3 linked regions of the Drosophila melanogaster genome follow. The gene in region 3 interacts genetically with the main gene of each other region. Each region holds a gene or a part of one and is shown on either strand. Other genes may lie near its edges.

What was found.
Region 1: of kek6 (region 3) and Vap33, changing one suppresses a phenotype caused by changing the other (phenotypic suppression), as found in Drosophila melanogaster (one study listed by BioGRID).
Region 2: of kek6 (region 3) and Toll-6, changing one suppresses a phenotype caused by changing the other (phenotypic suppression), as found in Drosophila melanogaster (one study listed by BioGRID).

Annotation. Positions count from the first base shown.
Region 1 is NC_004354.4:3,946,034-3,955,691, forward strand, and holds Vap33 (VAMP-associated protein 33kDa), read left to right. Parts: upstream 1-2,941; 5' UTR 2,942-3,339; intron 3,340-3,447; 5' UTR 3,448-3,616; coding exon 3,617-3,680; intron 3,681-5,381; coding exon 5,382-5,534; intron 5,535-5,602; coding exon 5,603-5,712; intron 5,713-5,795; coding exon 5,796-6,008; intron 6,009-6,074; coding exon 6,075-6,188; intron 6,189-6,733; coding exon 6,734-6,889; 3' UTR 6,890-9,409; downstream 9,410-9,658. Other genes in the region: Gem4c (gemin 4c), read left to right, coding at 1-1,556, 1,616-2,070.
Region 2 is NT_037436.4:15,333,473-15,340,408, reverse strand, and holds the start of Toll-6 (Toll-6), read right to left. Parts: upstream 3,718-6,936; 5' UTR 3,185-3,717; coding exon 1-3,184.
Region 3 is NT_033777.3:31,618,617-31,626,202, forward strand, and holds the start of kek6 (kekkon 6), read left to right. Parts: upstream 1-3,519; 5' UTR 3,520-4,206; intron 4,207-7,586. Other genes in the region: pasha (partner of drosha), read left to right, coding at 1-153, 625-828, 894-1,843, 1,900-2,154, 2,214-2,501.

The sequences.
Region 1 (9,658 bases), on a different chromosome or scaffold from region 3:
AAAGCGGGAGAAACCAAATTGCTTCGCCGTCTACAGCCAAATAACCGAGGACATCAGTGACAGCAACTCAAGCGATCCCATGCCTGATCTGCGGCATTTCGCCCAAATACTGCTAGACGTTCTGCGGCGTATCTTTCAGCTCGTTAGCGTAGACACGTATATGTATTGGCATGAAATGAAATCGAAAAGTGCTTTGTATAACTGCCAGGAGCTAATCTGTAGACAGACGGCAGAATTGCTTAAAGTACTCCAATCAGATAATATGCTCGGAGAGCATCCGGTTTGCAAGCAGATGCAGAGCTTTGCGGATGCAGCAAAAACATTGGAGCAGCGCGTTGCCGAGATGAGAATGGGTGAACTCTTAGTCTTTCTCGATTCCGGTATGGCCACCGATGAGGAGTTGCTCGCCGGGCTGGACAATCTCTTTAGCCGCTTCATAGCCTTTGGTAACGATGAGTGCGTGGAAACGATGGCAAATCATTTAATTATGCTCACCAAGAAACATGCCCAGATAATACTCAGTTTCCTGGGTCAGGTGGTGGAGTCCGAAATGGTGGTCGAGGACGAGGGCATATCCGTTACGGAAGTAAATCAGGGGGATGACGAGGACGAGACCTCGTCCAACGATGATTACGAAGAGCTGCTAAGCCTAGTACTGCGTCCCTTATTTATGCAATTAAATGTCGAGGACAAGATGGAAGTACTGCTATTGCGCGATGAGCAAAACGTTACCCAAGGATTTAATTTCAAGGCTCCCGATCATCGGGAGCGTCGCATACGCTTCTTTAATCAATTGGATTATAATAAGCGCTTCCCGATAACCAAATTTCTAGTACTGTGCTTTGAGAACGCAAGACAGACCTGGATTGATTTCTCCCACTTGGGCGTGACGCATACTCGCTTCTCGAAGCTATTCTGGCACATAGCTCAGTCTTGTCCCAAGCATGCTGCTTTTCATATTTCCGCCTGTGCCGATAACATCTTGGTGAACGAGCAACTACTTCAAAAGCCGTATGCCTTGCAGTTTACACTCTACCTATATGGCCACCGACAGATCCTCAACGGTCTCTACACGTCAGCGCGACAACTGTGCGTTAGTTTGAAAGACGGACGGTGTCCCTACGGAGAGGATGAGCTTAGGCAGGCGCAAAATAGGTTCCTAGACGCGTGTGCCTACGGTTTGGCCAAGTTTATAGAGCCCATGAACTTGCCCAGCTTGCAGTTAATCTTGAAACTGCTCAAGCAGATTAGTCTGGGTGAAAGCAATCTAATCACCCGAGGCACTGCAGAGTTAAATGCACTCGAAAAGGAGCACCCGAAATTGGAGAACGGAGACGATGCACCAGCTGTCAAGGTGGCCAAGCACTACACATATCTGAATGCCAGCTTGCCAGAGTGGCGTTTGAAACACTGGAAGCTGATCTCGCATGTCATGAAAACCATTGATGCCCTACGCTGGGACTTGGCCACCTTTGAAGATTTCCGGGTGGATAATTTAGAACTGGCGGTGTGGTATTGGCAGGACGGTCTGTCTCATCTGACATTCCTAGGCACTGGTGCGCTCTTATAAATGTAAGTCCAAGACGAAAGCCTACTAATTATTGCTCTTTCACAGAATGCCGCCAGAGGATCTTGAACCAAGTGAACAGTTTAAAGCACAAGGGCTTTTGGCTCATCTACCTTAAAGAAGACACCTTAAAGGACACACGCTCCTTTCTCAAATTGCTAACTCAGTCCAGTGCACAGGAGGCTAACGATCTCTTCAAAAAGCTCCTTAAAAAAAGGGCCGATTGTGCTGTTATGGGCGATCTTAGCGATGCAGTGGTCAAGGTGAACAGCGAGTCCGCTTTCATGGCCTTTAGATTCCTATTTCGAGAATATTTGATCGCCTTCCGGAGCCACGCCAAACACAATAAGACCATCACGAAGCGCCAGCATTGGGATCATTTGATGGCCGTTGTGGCCAAGGCTCCATTCTCCATTCGCAACGAGATTATGAAGCTAGCTAGTAAAGCCTTCGCTGTGCGATTCGGCATAAATATCCAGGAACAGCAGGCGGCCAAGTGTTAAGGAGATGCTGTTAGAAGTGTAATTTTCTTAAGCCAAATCGAAACTCCGCCGCTTGTCCAACACTTTAATTCTTAGGCAGTCAGATCTCTATATGACTAAAAACATATATAATATTCATAACGCTAGGATTGAACATCAGAATAATTTGATATCAGATTATTTTACAACTTTGTATGTCCTTTAAAAGGACGACTGTATGCACATAACAAATGTACCACTACCATGCAAATTTTTTGTCTTACTAAAAATACTTTGGCAAGCAAGTGAAGTTATTCAGCTGAAAATTAATAAAATTTTGCATGTTCTTTTTTTTCGTATTATTATGTATTATATATATAATATACAAAACGCTATGATTGAACATCAGAATAATTTGATATCAGGTTATTTTACAACTTTGTGTGTCCTTAAGGCCGACTATATTTACATAAAATATGTAATACTACCATCAAATACAAATTTGTGTTCTATTAAATAAATGCTTTGGCAAGCTTAAAATTATTGTAATTTTGCATGTTCTTATTTTTATTCGTATTTTTATGTATTACTTCGACTGCTTTGCTTCCTGTTGCAAAATTGTAACTTAAAACTAGGAAAATTTATTTTAATACATTTTTAAATTTCATGTACTCGTTATGTTATAAATTTAACTAATTTATATTCTGTCAAAAGCTGAATGGCATTATTCAGGGAAAGGAAAATTTTGGTGCAAATTGTTATTAATAACATTTTCAAATTACCTAAATAAAAAAAAATAGAAAAAATATCTTGTCTTAAAAAACACTATATATATTTTACAAGGTAATTTAACGACCAATGCTTGACAAGTATCGAAAAGTCGCTAAACTAAAAATATCGATACCCGATGCATCGATATTTTTTTCACATCACTAGCTGACAGAATATATGGCTTTTTTACATTTTGCGTTTTCAACTGAAGTTTGCGAAGAAACCGAAGCGTGGTAAACCACTGAAATCGAAAATATCGACAGAAAAGCGACCTAAAGTCGGTGAAGAAGTCGCACGTTGATCGTTGTGTTTTTTTCCCGAAATTTTCTGCAAAAAGCCCGTGCGTGCGTGAGTTTCTCTGGCTCTTGCTTTTTTTTTGTCCATGCGTGTGTGTGTGGTCGCATAAATTTACCGATATTTCGCCTGTGAGAGCGAAACGAACGAAAAACGAAAGAAAAAAAGAGAGACGAGTAAAGTAAAACGAAACAGGCATAAAAACAGCAGCAGTTTTCTTGATATATTTGGCTAAAAAACGCAAACGTAAGCGAAAAATTTGAAATCCCTCTTTTAATTTAGTTGTGTGCCTGTGTCTCGTATCTATGCGTGCGTCTGCATTTTAATATAATTTTGTGTGCATTTTCTTAACAGCAAACAGCCAGCAAGAACAACAAATAGCTGGGCAAAAACAGGACGCACAAAAAATAAAATTAAAACGATAAGAGGCGAAAAGCGGAGAGAGTGAAATTCTCGGCAGCAACAACGACAAGAACAACACCAGGAGCAGCAGCAACAACAACAACAAAAGCCAGCCGCCACAATGAGCAAATCACTCTTTGATCTTCCGTTGACCATTGAACCAGAACATGAGTTGCGTTTTGTGGGTAAGTTTATTTTACATTATTTTCGCGTTTTTGCGGAAAGGTCGCTGCATATCGACCAAAAAAGCCGATTCACCTCCCATTTCTTGCAAAGAGCAAACTGCAAGTTTCACTTTTTCTCTCTCTCACGCGCACATTTAATCTCCCTCCCTCTACGCTTTCTATTGCCATCTCGCTCGATTGGCTATCAATAATTTCCGTTGTTTTTGTTCTTCCTTTACATACGACACCTTTTATTGTTGTTCTTTTCGGGGTCTACGTGTATCATCGCTCTGCTTCTTTCCGTTTTTTTTCTTTTTTTTTTTTTTGCTTCAGCTCTTTAATGTATTTTATTTTTTGATGCCGGCAGCTGGCGTCGCTCTCTTTCTCACTTGCACTCGCCATCCCTCTCCCTCTTGCTCACTCGTTTCGCGTTTTTGGCTAGCATTATATTTTTATACGCAAAAACTTGTCATGGGCCATTTTAATTTTTTCTTGTCTTTTGGCTCCTTGAATTTTGGCCAAAAAGCAACAGCAGCAGTGACAAAAACAATGCAAAGAGCTCGCACAGTGGGTGCGACAAGTGGCACGGTTGTCATCGCATTGTTATTGAACTCCTGTTGCCAAGCTGCATTTTCCAGTGCATAAACATTTAATTTTTTTCGCGAAATTTTATCACAGTCTCAATTGCAGAACGAAATGTCTACTTAAATGACCAATCATTGTTGATTGCGATCTAGAATAATACACCAATAACCATTCACCATTTGTATTTTGTCTTATTGAAAAAAATTGAGTTAACTTTTCAAGTATTTTGCTATCGCTTCCATTGTGCGCAAATATTTTAATATCTGTGTATGTGTGAGTGAGCCTTAGCCCCATTCTTTTGCAACCCCCTCGCCCACGTTTCCCGTTAGATCGTGAATAGTGCGGTCGGCGAGGGGTGAAAAACACATGCATGACGCGACTTTGTCTAATGAAATTTCCTTGACACACACTTACACCAAAGAAAAACACGCACACGCCATGCTAACAAACAAAAAAAATTCCTTTCGTTAGTTTTTGCCCATTTCCTGGTTTGTTTTGATTTTCTCACCAATGCCTGTTAAAAATGTGACCAAAAAAACTATTTTAGAATGTAAGACCCCGCGATCGATTTCTAGTCGGCTTAAAAGTAATATTCGGAGTAATACTAGCGTTTACTAATCACATTAAATCTGAAATAATTTGAAGTAATTTTTGTAATTTCATAATAGTTTCAAAATAAGTTACACATTTTGGTAGTGAATCCAACTTCAATATGCAGGGTATTCCTCGATATTCAGTTTACTATTCGGTTTTTGTGCCCGTTCTCGATTTTGTTTTGATATTAATTCAATTAATTTGAACTTGCCTCGACCAATGACGCAACGAGCGTGACGCTACACAAAAATCAGGAAGAGTGGGGAAAATCGGGAAAGTAGAGAAATGTGGAAAGTGCGAGTGTTGGGCGCTTTTGGGTTGGGTGGGGCTATCGCCAAAATAGTGTGACTAATCGGGTGCATTCAATATGAAAGGGCGATAATGCCTGTTTTATTTAAAGATCATATCATGAGGAGAAAATCGGAAATCAGAAAATATTAACAATAGGGAAATATGTATGTACATATGCGTTATATGTGCCATGAAATTAATAAGATGTGTTCCTTAAGCTAACACTCATTTTGATATATTCTCGCCTTACAGGTCCCTTCACCCGACCCGTTGTCACAATCATGACTCTGCGCAACAACTCGGCTCTGCCTCTGGTCTTCAAGATCAAGACAACCGCCCCGAAACGCTACTGCGTACGTCCAAACATCGGCAAGATAATTCCCTTTCGATCAACCCAGGTGGAGAGTGAGTATTTCTCAAATGGTATATCGTTACTCTAATAATATCGTTACTTATCCTCGGCATGTACATAGTCTGCCTTCAGCCATTCGTCTACGATCAGCAGGAGAAGAACAAGCACAAGTTCATGGTGCAGAGCGTCCTGGCACCCATGGATGCTGATCTAAGCGATTTAAATAAATTGGTAAGGGGAAACGAATAGGACTCTTAATGATGGCATAGTGTGTATATTACTTTTCTAATCAACGTCCTATTCTACACCCGCAGTGGAAGGATCTGGAGCCCGAGCAGCTGATGGACGCCAAACTGAAGTGCGTTTTCGAGATGCCCACCGCTGAGGCAAATGCTGAGAACACCAGCGGTGGTGGTGCCGTTGGCGGCGGAACCGGAGCTGCCGGAGGCGGAAGCGCGGGTGCCAATACTAGCTCAGCCAGCGCTGAGGCGCTCGAGAGCAAGCCGAAGCTCTCCAGCGAGGATAAGGTATGTTAAGTCGAACAGGCAAAACCTTTCTAATGGCATAATAAATAACGCTAACATATTACCCAGTTTAAGCCATCCAATTTGCTCGAAACGTCTGAGAGTCTGGACTTGCTGTCCGGAGAGATCAAAGCGCTGCGTGAATGCAACATTGAATTGCGAAGAGAGAATCTTCACTTGAAGGTAAGCCAATTCCATTATGACTCTTCATTTTTTCTGTGTTTTGAGTAGTGCAATGTCGAAGTTACTGCTACCTAAGGGAGTTCCTCAGCAGTATTATCAAGATGTCTTCAATATTGAATATTCAGTTTTGTTCGCAATCGGTTAGAATGAGTCGATTCAGCCATAAGGAGAAGCAGGCCTCTGACTTTTTTCAAATTATAGGCTGTACGCGATGATCTCAAAATTGATATGAAAATTAATGACACTATTAGTGACAATTTCTTGCATTAGGTTGCTGTGGTGTACTAAAAATAATCAGCCTTTAAATATAAGTAAATCCAATTTGGTAATTCCAAGAATAATGCAAATAATGATCTGTTGTGCCTGGGAGTTTTCTGCGCGCTTGATATATAATTATTGTTATTATACAATAACTCGGTTCAGTTGGGGTGCTGATTTGTTTTCGAGTTCAAAAAAGAATACATAGGATAAATATTTTGTAAGTAGCCAGATAAGGATCAATCTATCCATTTGTGTAAATTAATAAATTTCTCAACCATTTGCAGGATCAAATCACACGTTTCCGGAGCTCGCCGGCCGTCAAACAGGTGAATGAGCCCTATGCCCCAGTCCTGGCTGAGAAGCAGATTCCGGTCTTTTACATTGCAGTTGCCATTGCTGCGGCCATCGTTAGCCTCCTGCTGGGCAAATTCTTTCTCTGAATGCCATAAACGAACGCCAGCAACATGCTACATGCAACGTGCAGCAACAGTAACAGCAAGAACAGCGGCAACACCATCATACAGCAACAGCAACAACAAAAGCAAAAGCAGCAGCAGCAGCAGCAACTAACAATAGCAACAACAACGAAAGAAGAACAGCAGCAGCAGGAGCATTAAAATAAATTTAATTGGCAGAAGAAACAAACCACAGAGACGAATGTAAAGCTGACTAAACCGGGGACCGTATACATTTAAACGGTTGTATTGAAAATCAAAAATAATCATTGTTTGTTAGCGAAACAAGTATCGCTCAGAATAGTATGGATTATGATGTGAGAAATATTGTTTGGTTCCAACATATTGCTCAAAGACAGATTGGCAGTTCTTGTTTTTAATACGAATCTTAACGAGACTTAAGTGTAAAGCATTCGAAACAATTTTAAGCTGTATTGACGCTTCGTGTATTTCAACCAAAAATATTTAAGTTTTTGCAAGATCTCGCTTGAATTAGTCGCAACCGGACTTTGAGTAATAAGAACATTTGGGCCCTATGAAATCCCTCACATCATAATCAATACTTAAAAAAAAGAAAACATAACGAATGATTACTTTTGGTACCTGGGCTAAACAAAACAAAAAAAAAAAAAAAAAACAAAAAAAAAACCGCAGAGAAAGGGAAAAATAGAAGAGACGTAAAATCGTATTTTCGCAAGGGGGAACATCTCTCAAGAACTCTTTAAAATCCGCTAAGATCCATACGTATATTTGCTCAGATTTTCGATTGCATTTTTTCGCTATTATTAATTTGTAAGAACTTAAGTTTAAAATGCCTCACAATTCGTTTTAATAATTTTTCGATGCATTTGCAAACGGGAAAAGTCAAGTATTTCAAAGAATAACAAAAATTATCATTAATCATACCTTCTCGACGAAACTAAAAGAAAAACCAATTTGTTACTTGAGTGCGAGAATAAACTTCAGTTTTATCAATTTTTTTTATTATTTGCTTTCTTTTTGTTAATTAATTTTTTGCAGCCACATAGACCTAGATGTAAAATTTAAATCGAAAACAGAAACGCAAATGTCAAGAAAAAAACATTTAGCAAAATGCAACAAAAATTAAGAAGAAACACTTGTATGGAAAACCAATCAATGAAAAGCTTCAAAAAATAAAAAAATAAAAACAACAATGCTCTGCAAGGCCGACGCTCTCTAAGAAAGAAAAGTTGCTTCACCTCACCCCTCGTCCCATCACTCTTTCTCATTCTCAACCGTCTGTCCCTCTCTAAATCCCGAAACGAGATCGAACGCGGACGGCGGCTCTATATATACATATTTATATATAATCATTATTGTTTTGGTTGGCATTTGCATTTACTAAGTTTCGTTTTAGTCACTTCAGTGGTTACATTACTACACACATACACACCACTCAATGAACGCTATATATATATATATATATATAGATATATATATATTATATGAATATACTAAATTTCTGTAAGCAAACCTTTATGTAATTTGTGTTGTTTGCCAAGGTCGAATTGAACGATTTCCAGCCCAAATGGCACCGAAATTGAGAAAATCCATCAACTGTATCCGACACGCCGATATATATACGATCTAATAAGTGCAAAAAAAAAATCAATCAATTTTCTAAAAAAGAAAACACAAAAAAAAAAAGGAACGAAAAAACCTTTACTAGAAGCAAAACAAACGCGTGTTGTTCATGGTTTACACTGCACCCGTGGATCCATAGATTTGGATCCATAGATACACCCACCCACCCACTTGGTTCCTTTCGTAGCGCCTACTATTTGCTGGCGATGCATCTTGTTTCACACAATTGTTTCCCCAACACATTTCATTGCTATTGTTCGTGGTTACGACTTTTTTTATATAGTTTGCAAAGCATTGAAAAGGGTATATAGATTTATACATGAATATATATTCGCCGACATGCATGATCGCTGTAATTTCATAGGCATGTGGAAAACTCGTATTTAAATGTTTAACTAGAAATACAGAAAAGAAAAGAAAAAATAAACTAAAAATAAATAAAAGGAAATGTGGAAATAAACAAATGATAAAGACAAAAGCAAATCATAAGCAAATTGTACTTGATGTCAGCTGTAGCAAAAAAAAAAAAACAAAACACAATATATATGAACATAATAATAATAATAAAATGTGAAAACGGAACTTAACATTCAAAAATTGTTTCGATACATTTAACAACATTCAATTGCATTATTTGATTGAAGTCAACCGACACACACACACACTTTACTCACACCCGAAAGAGTCTGTCTCCTCGCGAAGTAGGCGCAAAATCAACGAAAGTTGTAGAAGATCTGGAAGCTGGAGATCAGCACACACACACACATACACACAAGAGAAAAACAATTATTATAATATTTACAGCATGAATCTTAAAAACTAAGCGTTTTTTTCTCAAAGGAAAAGTAAAATGAAACATTGTTAATTAAACATCAAATATCATTTGAAATAAATTTAAATAAAACGAAAAGGAAACGCAATGGTGTCTTATTATACAACTGTGCTATAAATCCCATTTAAGCAGCAGAGATTGTATCCCTTATAAAAAATGCTTTGGTTTAGTTCTTAAATTCTCTTTAGTTAAGTTTTCTGGTTTTTCTTCAGCTTCGTTTCACAATTCGTTTTGTTTTATACAATTTTTACATATCTACAACATAAAACGTACGCGTTTGGAACAAATCGGGAATACGGCTCGAACGGCCAAGGGGA
Region 2 (6,936 bases), on a different chromosome or scaffold from region 3:
CCACCAGGAGCAGGGGCAGCAGTCCCTCGATCTCGTTGGTGTGCATATAGTGGGCTACACCATCTCGCAAAGTGCACTTGGTACCGTTCTTCTCCCTCAGAACACTCGTAGCATTGTTGTAGATGCAGCTCACCCTGGAGGCATCTATGATCTTCTCCGAGCTCTGACCCAGGTAGTTTCTGAACCTGGCCAGGTAACCACACTCACAGCTCCACTGGTTGTCGGCCAAGCTGATCTCCACCAGGTAGGGATTGGCACTTAGTTGCCACACCTCGAAGTGCATCAATCGATTGCCATCCAATCGCAGGACCTCCAGTTTCCTCAGCATCTGGAAACTCCCATTGGCGATGCTGGCTATTTTGTTTGATTGCAGATATAGCTCCCTCAGGTTCTCCAGATTGTGGAACTCGTTGCCCTCCAGACTGATTATATGATTATCCTCCAAGTGCAGGATCAACAGGCGTTTAAGGCCACTGAAAGTGGTGTTGTATATGTGGGCCACGTTCGAGTTGTTCGCATAGAGAACAGCCAAGTTCTTGCGACCAAGGAACGAATGTCCCGCCAATTCAACAAAGTTGTTGCCATCGATATACAACTCAGAGGTATCCATGGGCACACGTCTCGGCATCTCAGAATAAGCTGCGCCCGAGCACTCCACAATATTTGTGGACCAGGTTTGGTCATGGAAGCACGTGCAATTCGTGGGGCAGGTCATCTCGCAATCACAAGCATCGAACTCACAGCAATGGCAAACGGCGAAGCAATGGGTCTTGTAGGTGCACAAAAAGTGCTTGGGTTCAGCTTCGATCAGGGGAATATAGGCCCTCTCCCTGTTGTTCAGCAACTTGCAGTATATGGTCTCCAGATCCATAATCCTTGGATATTGCCTCGATGTTATATGGTTAATCTTCTGCAGCCAATCAATGTTACAATCGCAGGTGAAGGGATTTCCACCAATATAGAACTCTGGCAGAGCTCGATGTTCCCAAACTGGCAGAATCCTCAAGGACTTGATGTCCAGCGTTGTGATTTGGTTCGCATAGAGATCCACCCGGGTCAGATTGGTTTTGTGCATAAAGGTATCTGGATCAACGGTGGTTATCAGGTTGTCGTTCAGGAACAGCAGTTCGATAGAGTTTGGTATGGAACTGGGTCCAATGCGCTGAAGTTGATTAAAGCTCACATCGAGAGTTTGTAGTTTTAGCTCACTATCCAAACCAAAACGATTTGATAAGGAACTCAACCGATTCTTATGGAGGTCCAGCCACTGCAGGGTGGATGGCACATGTCCATAATCAAAGGATTCCAAACGATTATCGGATATATTCAGCCACAGAAGGGAGGGCATGTTGCTGAAGAGGCCATTGATGTCATTCAGCTCATTGCCATCCAAACGCACAGCTTGAATGCTCGAGGTCATCTCAAAGGCCCCCGGTTCCACAACTGCTATGCGGTTTCTGGCGAGATTCAGGATTTGCAAATTAGGCAGATCCCTGAAGGTGTGCATCGTAATATTCTCCAGGTAGTTGCCAATCAAGCGGAGACCATAGAGATTTCCCAGACCTTTAAACGCACTATCCTCCATAACGGTAATCATGTTCTCGCCCAGATCCACGGTTCTCAAATGGCGCATATTCCTCAGGGCCAGCGGAACTGTCTTCAGCTGATTGCCATTCAAGTTGAGGTCCTGCAGGGCACTGCAGTTCCGGAAGGCATCCGGATGCACGCCAATCAGCGCATTATTGTCCAGCGAGAGCAGCGACAGTACATACAATCCGTTCAGAGCATATGCATCCAGATACTTCAGTTTGTTGTGCGACAGCAGCAGCGTGTGCAGATTATTCATCGGGGCAAAAGTGTCGGCTGCGATGTTCTCCAGCTGATTGTGACGCAGATTAAGAATCTGCAGGGTGTACAAGTCGCTGAAGATCTCTGGCTCCAGTTTGGTCAACTTGTTGTGCGACAAATTAAGCAGAACCAGACGAATCAGACCCACAAAGGTGTTCTTATCGATCCAGGTGGAGGTTATCTGGTTCATGGACAGGTCCAGGGCCTGCAGCTGGTCCAGATTCGAGAAGAGCTGCGGATTCAGCACACTTATGGAATTATTCTGCAGGTACACCTCTTGGATAATCTTGGCTTGCTCAGCGAAGAGTTCTGTGGGCAAGGCCACGATTTTGTTGGAGCTCAGGTTCAGGATCTGCAGGTTCTTCAGTCCACTGAGAGCCTTGTCCGCAATCATGGAGATGCCATTGTTGTTGACCGAAAGGACTCGCAGCCTCCTCAGAGTGCCAAATCCATTTGCTGGCAGCACGACGAAATCATTGTGGCTCACATCCAGGTACTCCAGGTCCAGCGAACAACTGGTGCTTGAGCTACTGCTCTTTTTGGCCGATTCGGTGGTGGAGGTGGATTCGGTGGAACCATTGGTTGGCTCCTTGCTGCGATCCCTGAAGCCCAGCTCGTTGACGTCCTGCAGGCGATTCTCGCTCATGTTCAGGGCAGACAACTCGGACAGGGTGCAGAATATGTTATCCGGCAGGGACCAGATGTTGTTCGAACTGAGGTCCAGTCTCTCCAACCTCCGAGTGACCGAGAAGGCATCCGCTTCTATCTCGAAATTCAGCGCTGGCCACAGGATGTTGTGCGTCCGGAGCGTCAGGTTCCTCAGCTGCTCCAGACCATCCAGAACCTGGCGACCCAGTCGCCCCAGCTTGCAATACTGGATGGACAGCTGCTGGAGCCTAACCAGATGGGCGAAAGATTGCGCCTCCAGGCGACTCTTGGCCATGATTTCGTCATTGCACAGTATGTGCAGGGCAATCGTGTGCTCGGCGGGTATAACACTGAAATTGGTTGTGTCAAACTCGCTGTTCACCGTGCGCAGGTTGCACGTTAAGGCTATTTCCGGCTGATCCAGACCCGCTGCTGGCATGAAGTGACAGTCGTCGGGGGCGTCATACAGCGAAGGGTCACCACCCGCGCCCGCGGTCAAGGGTCGCAGGGTTCGCGCCGGAGTCGAGGGCTGCATTAGCTGCGAGTTGGAGACCCCAGCCTCACCCATTATCGCATTCGAGTGCGACAGCTGCTGCTGCTGGTGGTGCTTGGTGGACAGCGATTCCGTGGTGTGCTGCTGATCCTGGGCCAGGACCACGGGCAGTATGAGTAGCATATAGTAGATCATTTTGGCGATTCACGGTTTAGCTGCGTGGAGGCACCGGAAAATGGGTTTGCGGAGGGGGGAAAGACGGTACAAGCGGGGGTCTTGGGGAGAAACGAAAAGAAAATCAATTCCACTGGCTGGCCAAAGAAAAGTCTGCGCACATATTTTCGGCTTCTGTGCTCCCTCTACTCCAAGCCAGATTTTCTTTATTTTCCCCCGATTCTTTAGTTAATTATGCTCTCCGTGTTTTCTTCTCTCTTACACCCGGCACATTTTCTAGCACTTGGCCTTTTCTATCCTCTTTATATTTAAATTTTTCTTTTTTATTCGTTTCGGCGCTTTGAATTACTCGCTTCGAAGTTTTTGTTTATTACACGTCGCGTTATAGGAACCTTTGATGAATTTCAATTTAGCTGCGGGCTCGACTTCTATTATCACTTTTTCATTTGGCTGAACTGAACCCACTTTTTCTGGGACTTGAGCGGTGCAGCAGCGTCGATATTTTCCGGTTCGTAATGTAACGCGCACGTTGGCTGATTTTCGACTGACTGCCGCAACGTGCGCAACTTCTCTTTTAAATGGAGAGTCGTCCACGAACTCGAAACCCCGAAAATCCGAAAAGCCGAACGCGAGCCGAAGGGGGCTGGAAAACAGACGAAGAGCAGCCGACAGGCTCTGCACGGGCGGGAAATGCTGAGAGTTTTCGGAGAGTATGACTAAAGGGAAATTCGCTCTGGCTCGACGGATGCTGGAAAATGTTTTTCTTTCTCTCCATCTAATCGCATCGAACAGCTGGCGTTCGTTCGTGTTTTCCTTTTGATTTTCTCTGTCTTTTTTCGTCGTATTTCGTATATCCTTTATTTTTTTGCCGCCGAATCGGAGATAGAGCTCCGCACCCCCCGCCGCCAACCGGCGACTTCTCTGCTGTCTCTGTTTTGATAATGAAAATATATGATGTGCATGGGCCAGCGCCAATCTTCATACAAACGTAATTTATTTTTATGCCATGTGCATGTGTGTGTCGGTGTGCCGAGAAGGTCCTTCGGCTGCTTTTTGCTCCTGTTTCGTGGGCCCAGACCCGTATAAAAATAATAATTCCTCACATTCCATTAAATTACAATAATAATTTTAATTAAACTGTTTTGTTTGCGCCTCATGTAACAATTCCTGTGGTTTCATGACTTCTTTTTCGCCCAGCAAAGCAGCAAAAAACTGTCTTCCCCATCAGGTTAATGATAATGATTATGGGCCAGCATTATGGGGTTTCGTTGGGCTTTGGATGTGTGGGGATTTCTGTGGATTCCTCGTTCTCAAATCCGGAAAGTTATGCAAGGACTTGGTTAGACTCGATTGGGAGATGCTGGAAATAGCAAATATGAAAATTCGTGAGCAGAGTTTTTATAAAAAGCTCCTTTTATAGGATATCTTAAATCGCACACTGCAAATTCAGATTTTTGTAGTTACTTAAATTTTGAATTATGTTATTGTCTTTTGGACTTAAATTAATATTTCTTTGAGATTAATTACACTTGGAACATTTTACTACTTCAAATAATAAATATACAATTTTTGCTTCACGCGCCTATGATTTTGATGAATGTATTATAATCTTACCTAAAGTAGTCCTGGTATCTCGAAAAAGAAATCAATCTATCAAGGAAATTTTCCAAGGGTTAATTTACAAAGAAGACTGTCTATTGTTCCTTATTTCGTTAACCTCCGGCATGTATGTATTTTGATTGTTCAATATTTGGGTGAAAGCAGAAATATTGATGGATCACCGCCAACAAATTCAATGGCGATTACCACGGCATGGTAACCTTGATAAACTTCGGGTCTTTCATGACTAATTCCCAAGAAAAACAGCTGCCCTGGACACTTTATCTTGGGCTAATATTTCTTAGCTGGCTTGAAAGTTTTCCCATATCCATGGGTGTTGTGGCTAAGGATCTTTTTGTCGCCACTAAAAGCAAACACAAAAACATTTTTGCCAAATTGCGTCAGCCAACAGAACGCCTCCCACCCATTTTTCGTGCTGGGGTAATGATTTGCCTAATGTTTCTAACAATTATGTGGCTTGGCCACACAAAAGAATATATTATGTAAGTTATTAAAATTATATCACCAGCAGGAGCAGCAGCAGAGCCACGAACAGCAGCCAAGTCTAATAAGCCTCCTGCACAGTGAAGAAAACTATTGCAGTTCAGTCTTAATTTGAGAGATTTTCTCAGTAAGATATTCGCTAAAAATATTAGTTATTTAGGCACATGATGTTTTTCTTTTACCAATTACTCTTGTACAGGGATGTATTACTGTTTTATTCACAAGATTTTCCTTCAGTGCACCCCTTATTTTACTCACCTTCAGGCTTTCGCAGGCTCTTTCAAATGTAAATGGCGGCAAGGACGAGGTTTTGTGGCTCGCTTTCCTTTGTGTGGTGGCACATGCAACCAAGAAGGAATATTTCTTCCCCGGCCTGGTATTCTTTTTTCGGTAGTTATCAATTTGGTGAACGCTTCTGGCTTTTGTCCGTGGTCCTGGTCGCAGCTCCTTTATTTATGTGCCCCATAACGTGGGTTTCTTTCGCTTCGTTTTTTTTTTTTTTTCGGTAACACGAATGACAAGATTTTCATCAACGTCATTAATATTAACTTTTGCAATAATTCTCGAGCTGTGGAAAATTATGAGAAATGACCCAGTAGATAAAGCCAGAGGCTGGGCAAAGCGGAGCTGAATCGGAGTCCACTTTTCGACAAAGCCATAACTCTCGGTGTGCAGATTGGATTGGTTTGCCGGCTATAGTAGATGTCCTTGTCGTGGTATTAGCCTGACGCCTGGACGGCTTTCAAGTCAATCTTAATTGTGGCTCTGTGCTATGGACTCGGCCTAATGACAGCATTTCGGATTACTTTCACTCAAAGCCAAGGGGGAAAGCTAGAAAGAAAGGTTGCATATTTTATGGCGCCCAAGCAGCTTTACGGGTGCACTGTAAAAAATTTTCAATCTGTTGAAGCAACTCAATATCATTAGGTCTGCCATGGATAAATGGGAAGCTCAAATCAAAACACCAAAGTGAGTCTTAGATTAAACAAGCCTACGCTATAACAATTTTTTGACGTACATTCCGCGTTTTACGTGAAAATGGGATTACATATTCCAATCCATTTTGATTACTAAATATTTACTTTTATGTTTTTCAGTGTGTCTATATATGAGGAGGGGGCACAAAAATCACAATTAAATGTAACAATTGCGTCTCTGGGGACCGCAGGTCTGGTTAACAAGAGCATCGGACTCGATTCCCTCCTGTCAGTTGCTTGTCTGATGCCAGCTTAAATTGCCCATACACGTCACAGGCAAACACCACCCAACACCCACCACCTACCGCCCATTGCCCCACATCCTTGCAGTACCCACCCAATGCGATGTTCCTTATCCCCACCCACACCCATCGGATTCACCCATTCAGCTATCCTTTTTGGCAGCTTTGGCTCGTCCTCGTTTGTCGTTTCTCTTTCACTCTGTTTGCGTTTATTAATTGTTGCCTTTATTTTGGCCTCATTTTATTTGATTTGGTTTTCCTTCGACTGGCCGGCCTTCGCCTGCCTTTTTCTGTTCCTTTTGTTTTCACTAGCAGCAGCTATAAAGCCAAACCTAATTGACTTATCTTGCCATGGGTTTGCTAATTTCTCGGCCATTGTGTCTCGCTGACTTGGAGCTTGGAGCTCGGAGCTTCTTTGGGCCATAAAAGTGCCCAGATAGCCAGATAGGAT
Region 3 (7,586 bases):
AGCTCAAGGTGGCCGGCTTTTCGCTGAGCGCCATCGAGGAAATGCGGCGGACCAGGGACAACGAGCTGCAGAACGAACCCATGGACCAGCAACTGCGACAGTTCCAGGTTCTCGACGAAGTCGGCTCTGGCAGCGATGAGGATGATGAGTCAGGTGAGTCGGAAACGAAGCTCGGATATTCACTCAGGTCATCCAGATCACAGGCTGTGCAATTACCACCTTTTGTTTCACAGTGCAGGCGCAGTTCTTATCTCAAGATCTTGGGGGCCTATCATTGTGCAAATACAGGAGGCTGATAAAAGAGTCAGCCGGCAGGTTAAACCCTGATATAGCAGCTTCAGTTTTCCTTTATCTTATTGTAAGGCAGGTGGTGGCAGTTTTGTGCGGACAGTTCCATGCGCATGATACCCATTATCCGACTGGCTTGTCCAGTTGCGTCAGGTAGAGCCAGTAATAATGAAGGATCACTTTAATTAAACATCAAAGAGCTAGACAATTAGGTGCCAATGGCATTCATTCAAATATTCCGTGAAGATGGCCATCAACTTCGCGGCTGGTTTTCCATTTCCCAGACAAACAGACAACTTATTTATCCGTGATTGTATCTCCTTACATGGCAACCAGACAACGCTAGCGAGCAGCAGGGCGGAAGGTATGGAGAAGGAGGCGACGAGGAGGAAGAGGCGGCTGATGGTGACGGCGAAGAATACGATTCCTCGGAATTCGATGATGACGAGATCGAGAATCTGCTGGACGAGAAGCTGCCCGAAGAGCTCCGCGAGTCAAAGCAGCCCAAATACGAGCAGCGTTTCAAGACTGTGCTGGAAGGTCAGTGCTTTTCGTCGAACCAAGTGTCCAAGATGACGAGTATTTTAATGTGACTACTCTTTTAGAAAAGCGCCTCAACCACTTTGAAGTCCTACCCGAGGGATGGGTGCAGGTGACCCACAACAGTGGAATGCCGCTCTTCTTGCATCGCAAAACTCGCGTCTGTTGCGCATCGAGGCCCTATTTTCTCGGCACTGGAAGTGCCCGCAAGCATGCAGTGCCCTTGGGAGCAATCCCCTGTCTTAACTACAGGCGGGCTTTGGAGGAAGAGTCGGAGGTGGAGCAACAAAAGACGGATGGAGCGCCGCCAGTGGCTGTATGTCCCATGGCCGGAGCTTCCGCTTTACCGGCCGAAGCCATGGACGTGGAGGGAAAAGAGAACAACGAAGGCAGCACCGATTCCAAAACCCAACCAGATGGAATAACTGCCCTTATGCCGGCTGCTAAAATTGTTACGGTCAACGAGAATACCCAAAAGGAATCCATTACACCGGAGCAACTAAACACCTACTGCCAGAAACTCTTCAAATTCAAGGTGATTCGTGTGCTGCGATTTCGGAGTTGGAATGCTCGCCGCAAGTTCACCAAAAACCGCAAACACATCAAGAATATTCAACGACCCACGCTGCCGGATGGCACTAAGCTTATTAAGTTCCCAATACTAGCGAATGCTGGCGAAGGATCAACGAACCCGCGCGGTCGGAAGGAGTGGATCATGAATCCCAATGGCAAGAGCTTCGTCTGCATCCTGCACGAGTACGTGCAGCATGCTCTGAAAACGCAGCCCACCTATGAGTTCAAGGAGCTCCAAAACGCAGCCACGCCTTACTCCGCCACCGTATCGGTGAACAATCTCAAGTATGGCACGGGCTATGGCACCAGTAAAAAGCAGGCCAAGTCAGAGGCGGCTCGGGAAACGCTGGAAATACTCATTCCCGATGTCAAGGACAAGATAACGGGCAACAATAAGGACCAAAAGAGCGGCACTGCGAAGAAAGCGCAGAGCGATCTGTCTGTAAGCAATCTACCTATAGAAAATGGAACCACTTCTTATTTTTATATTTCTTGCAGGTTTTCGATGACATCCGCATCGAAGATCCCCGAGTCACCGAATTCTGCAACAAGACGACGGAGCCATCTCCCAACGCCATTCTGCTGACTTGCTTGCAGCGCAACTACGGCAGCGATGTTCAGATCAGCCAGGAGATCAACCGCACCGCGAATAACAAGAACGAGTTTACCATGACCGTGGGCAAACATACTGCCAAAGTGGTGTGTAAAAACAAGCGGGAGGGCAAGCAGTTGGCTTCGCAAGCAATCCTCCAGGTGAGCATTGATATTTCTTTATAACTTTACTTATAGCTATTGAGTTAACCTTTCGTCAGATTTTGCATCCGCACATCCAGACCTGGGGTTCCTTGTTGCGCCTCTACGGCAACAACTCCATAAAGACCTTCAAGGAGAAGAAGCTGGAGGAGCAGGAGATCACCGTGCTGCAGAGCAAGGCGGCAGTCAACCAACCCAACTACGCCATACTGGACAAACTTAAATCCGAGATGTTGAAACTGTGTGCCAAGCAGGAGAGCGTCCTAACCATGGGCACTTTTGTGCCGCCAAGCGACGTCGATCTGCCCACTTCCTCCGGGTCCAATTTGAACAACGTGGAACTTTGATTGGGAAACACACATCTCTCTCGCCAACATTGATTCTCTAGTAGTGCATGACAACCTCCTAGTCTCTTAGTTACCCACCCATTTCCATATTCGAAAAGCTAATGACAACAACGACGCGTTCTCTAGAGGCATACGAACTGATTTCAAATCGGCTTCATCTATCTGAGCTGGTTAATCTGAAGTGGCTTTAGCAAGTGGCCAAAAATGAAGAACAATTGCCTATCAAGTGGTTTTACATTAAGGTAAATTCATCACTAAATTTGCCAAATATAAGTAGTTCATGCTTGCAATAGCTAAGATTAGGGGTTCAATTTCACTTGTATAATATAAGCTTGAATAAAATACTATTAAAAACGCAGTCCTTTATATTTGAGTATAGAGATGTTCGTCTAAGATCTTTATCTGCAATACCAATTAAAAAAGTAGAGTTCTTAAGTATTTGACAACTATTCATTTGGGCAGACAGCAGGACAATTATTTGCTCATGATTTGTTTATCAAATTTCCTCGTAAATCTTCTCGTATCGCTTTCATTCTTGGAACGTTCAAACACCATTGACCCGTAACCAATTTGGAAGACATTTTAAAAAGTCGTATGGAATATAAAAAAATGCATATTTACATGGCCATTAGGATTCTCGGGTGTTTTTAGGCGGTCGGTCGTTAGGTGAGTGGATGTTAATATTTAAGGCGGTGGGCAGGGTGTAGGTTCGTAGGTGTGTGTGCGTGCAATTATTTAAAAGACGATGCAGTCATAAATTATGCTACATTTTCATTTCATTCTAACGTTTCCTTTTTTATAGCATTCCAACGAGCGTGGCACACACACATACCCACCACGGAGAATGCGGAGAGACAGTCGCAGAGAGAAAGTCCGAGAGAGAGAGCGCGGGAGAGCGGCGCAGGCGCAGATCCCGGATTTTGCGCAGCAGCCATGCTGCGAGATGAATTGTGGCGAGTTCTGACTTGCCAATTCGCAGGCCATATCTGTATCTTCAGTACGGATTCTTCGCGTGGCGAGAAAACCACTTCCCGGCGCTCCTATCCTCAGGACTTTCGTCTGGGATTTGTAATTGAATCACAGTAACTCGGGACAGACCGAAAAAAAAAACGGGGAGAAAAACAGAAAGCCAAGAGGTGAATTCGGTGGTACAGCTGAAAAAAGGCCAACTGCAGTGCAGAGCAGAATCATTTTTATTGACATTCATCTTAGTTGCCCCCTCATCCCTCGGTGCCCCCAAAAAAACCAACTTCATAGCCCCCCAGTTCCTCGATTCTCGACTCTCGACGTTCGATTCCCGGTGCTCGTGTGTCGCGTGTTGCAAGTGCGTGGGTCGCGCGTCAAATCAGTGGATGTAGCAAGCGGTACGACACGCGCGCCGTTTTTGATTTTTCGCCCAGCGGCCCAGAAATCGGGCCTGGGAAAAAAGTGCGGATATTCGGTGAAAGACGGAGCACTCGGAAAATAAACGGAAAATCGGGTACACACACGCACTCCTGTACACCGTGTCCAATGCATTTGGCCCGCTTGGCCCAAGCACTCGGAGATATGTAAATTATGCCAAATTCCATTGGAATTTCCGTCAGAGCCAGTGAATCGGTAAGCAGCAGCCGCCGGAGCAGCAGAAGGCGGAGGACGCAGGACGCAGGACGCAGGAGCAAGCCAGTAGCAGCAACAAGGACTGGAGCAACAGCAGTAGGCGAAGGTAAGCGGTAGCGCATTAGGCGCCAAGTGTCAGCGGAGAATGCTGGAAAATTCAATAATCCGCCGCAGGGCGCCCGTTTGTCCCCCTCGTGCCACACGTCCTCCTCGCCGTCCGCCTGCCCGTCTGCCCGAAAAACCCACTCCACGCTTGCCATCTGGGCGCATACCGAATGAACTCGTGCACGGGCAGAAAAAAGTGGATACTACTTTATTTTGGACTGAAAAATTGATGGTGGAATTGTGCTTTACGGTCATTGTCTTGGAGTTTGTGCAATTTTGTGAATTTCCATCCAACGTGTTCCCAAATAAATCCCTACGGCTCAAATGGAAATGGGGTATCGGCTCTTCAAACCCCAAATCCACATCCTTTTTCACAAGGAGAGGCGGTATTATTTATCTTACATTATCGTATAATGGCATATACATATGTATCTGTAGGCGTGTGTTAATTGAATTGCAATATTTGGGAATTTTATGGCGCCGCAAAACAACAGGAAGGGTTGAGTAAATATTGGCAGAGTAATCCACAGAGCGAAGCTGCCAGCTTTTTCTCCTTGTGCACTTACATGGCACATATAGGATACTCGCTCGGCTCTGGCGTAGTCTGTTGCGTCCAAAAGTAGGTTGACTTCGGTCTGGCCGGGTTTTCGGGATTGGATGGGATGGGATGGGGTCTGTTCTGCTTTGCGTTTGGCGATGGCTTTGTTGCCGCTCGATATTCGTTTAGTTTCTATTTCTTTTGCTGTTTCGGTTTCGTTTTCACTTCCAGCTAATTTCGGTGAAATAAAGAGATGAAGAGTAAATAAGAAGTCGGGCGGAGTGAGGACGAATTGGGGGAGCGCCACTTCCCGCGGGAGAAAGTGTCCTTCCTTTGAAGTTGTGCTAAGTAAATCCAGGTAATGCTGCCCAGGACCGCAGGCTTCCATTTTGGGGATTCCTTTCAAGGACTTCTTGAGGAAACAGACGAATTATAGACCCTTTCTAATACATTTTCTTTTCCGGGCTTCCGATGGGTTCGCCTCCTTCTTCAATATAAAAAAACAAAATTTCTCTAAGTTTCGTTCAATTCGGGTTGACAACATCCATTGGATGCAAGAATGTTGGGTTCGAGTAAAAGTTTCTTCCCCATTTACACCTAGTAACTGTGCCAAAAATCGATTATAGAGACCCTTGCTTTATGTTTTCCTAATTCCAATTGATGTGTCTGTTAACTGAGTTGAAAGTAATACTCGTTTAAGTTCTAGCTGAGACAAATGGCAAATACGTTTATCTGCAAGGATTTGCCCTTAATTGCCTTCCCAAAATGCTTTCAACTTGAAGGCATTTAAATCTTGCTTTGCCATTTTGTGGCTTTGTGGCCAAAGCTCTTTTTTACTTAGCCAGATTTTTCCATAACAAAACAGATTTCAATGTTTTTCATGTGCACCATTTTTACAAATACAAAAACTGATTCGAAGTGGCTAAAAAGTCCGAAGAAGGCAGCTCACGTAAGCTTTCCTTTTAATAATGCTCACATTCCCCGAAAGTTTGTTTTAATTAATATTCCGAAATGCTAAACAGACGAAACCAGACAAACAAGCCAGCGAAAATATTTATACAAACCTGAAAGTAAGTTCCCTCGGCTGGAGCCAAAATTTCAAGGGATGCGTAAACTTGGCAGTGAGTCCTGCCCCTCCTCCTCCGCATGCCAAATTCTCGTTTGCGGGTTGCAATGGCAACGATCTGGGAACGATGGCACCGCAAGGTGTCCTTTGATGTCTGATAAGCAAATCCCGGCAATGTGACACCTTCGGCTCAATGGATGACCGACCCGTCGTCACCCATTTTCCATCCTCCATCTTCCATTTCGCATTTCCCACAAAGCGAGCGACCACCAAGAAATCGGAAAATCGGGGGAGCGGTGCGAGTACTTAATAATGCAAATACCCACAAAAACTTTTTGGGGGTTGGGGTCCTGAAAAATTCCAAGAGGGGCTTATCAAATTCTTCGAATGGCTTTGCCCAAAATAGAAAAGTAAGCCAGAAAAATCGCATTCACTCAGTGGCGCTCGACTGTCGGCCAATTTGGCGTGCTAACAAATTATCGCTGGCCGGGAAAATCAATAAGCATTAATCTTGTGGCGATTTTGTCTATATCCCGCACATTATTTGCATAGTTAATGGCCAGGACCACGGGTGCCGTTGGCCATTCAACCGACCACCGACCACCGACCACCGGCAACCAACAACCGATGGGTTTAAGTCCGAGTGGTTGGGCAATTGTTAAAATCGTTGTCCGCCGGACGAGGTGATTATAGCCACTTGTAGTTATGATTGGGGAATCGATTTCAGGCGAAAACCGTAAGCTCCTGCCGTTTACTTAACTGGAAAGTCGGACGGATTCGTCTGCATTTGCATTTGTATAATTAAAACCGATGTAGAACTCTGGAGCCCCGGGCGAATTGTGATTGTTCGAGTGTTTGGCTTCCTGGGAAACCCAAGGTGTTTCGATGTGGCAGGAAAGACTCCAATTAACATTCTCAAGGACTGCGTTGCGACGTAGATTGAATCTTGTGTGTTCAACACGGCGTATACATAATGTATAAATGAGTTTTCTTAGAGGCAGCGTGACATGTGAGTTGTCCATTAAAAGGGAAATGAAATGATTCTGTTAATAGACCCGGGGGATTCCTTTTTGATTGGTCTTTGGACGTATGCACACCCACTCCCCCCAACGCTTTCGTTTCCATATTGACTGCGAGCGGCACCTTAACGCCCGCAAAAAGCAATCTCATCGAAGGCAACTTTATCCCATGAAATTAAAATTTAATTTCAATTAACTTATCACATCGTTGCCAGCATCCGACACCCGAAACCCGACACCAATCGGGATTCCACGCCTCCGCCGCATCAACACATTGAACGCCCGGCTAATCTACCACAAAATACCTTAAGGTGGGGCATCCCAGATTCCCCCTTTTGCATTTCCCTGTCACCTTGCCAACCCACCAACCGACCAACGTACCAACGTACCAACGTAGCAACTTACCAACTTGCCACCTTGAAAATTTCATAATTAAACGTTGCCCAACGCCGGCTTAAACCCGGCCAAGCCGGGCTAGGGGCATAGCCCTGGGTGACATCTTCGAGAATTCTAATTAAATCATCCCCGAGAACTTTTGAGGACTTTCTGTGTTGATTCATGTTCCATGTGGCAGCTGCCCCGAGTTTGCTCGGGAATCCAAAAAGGCAAAAATGAAAAATAGATGAGCAAAATCCGAAAAATGAAATGGAAAACTTTGCTTGCCCAGGAATTTCACTTGATTTCTATTTGTTGTTCTCCTGGCGAACACCTCCACTCCCCTCCCGTTCTCTTTTTAGCCATTTACCGGTTCGAGTTAT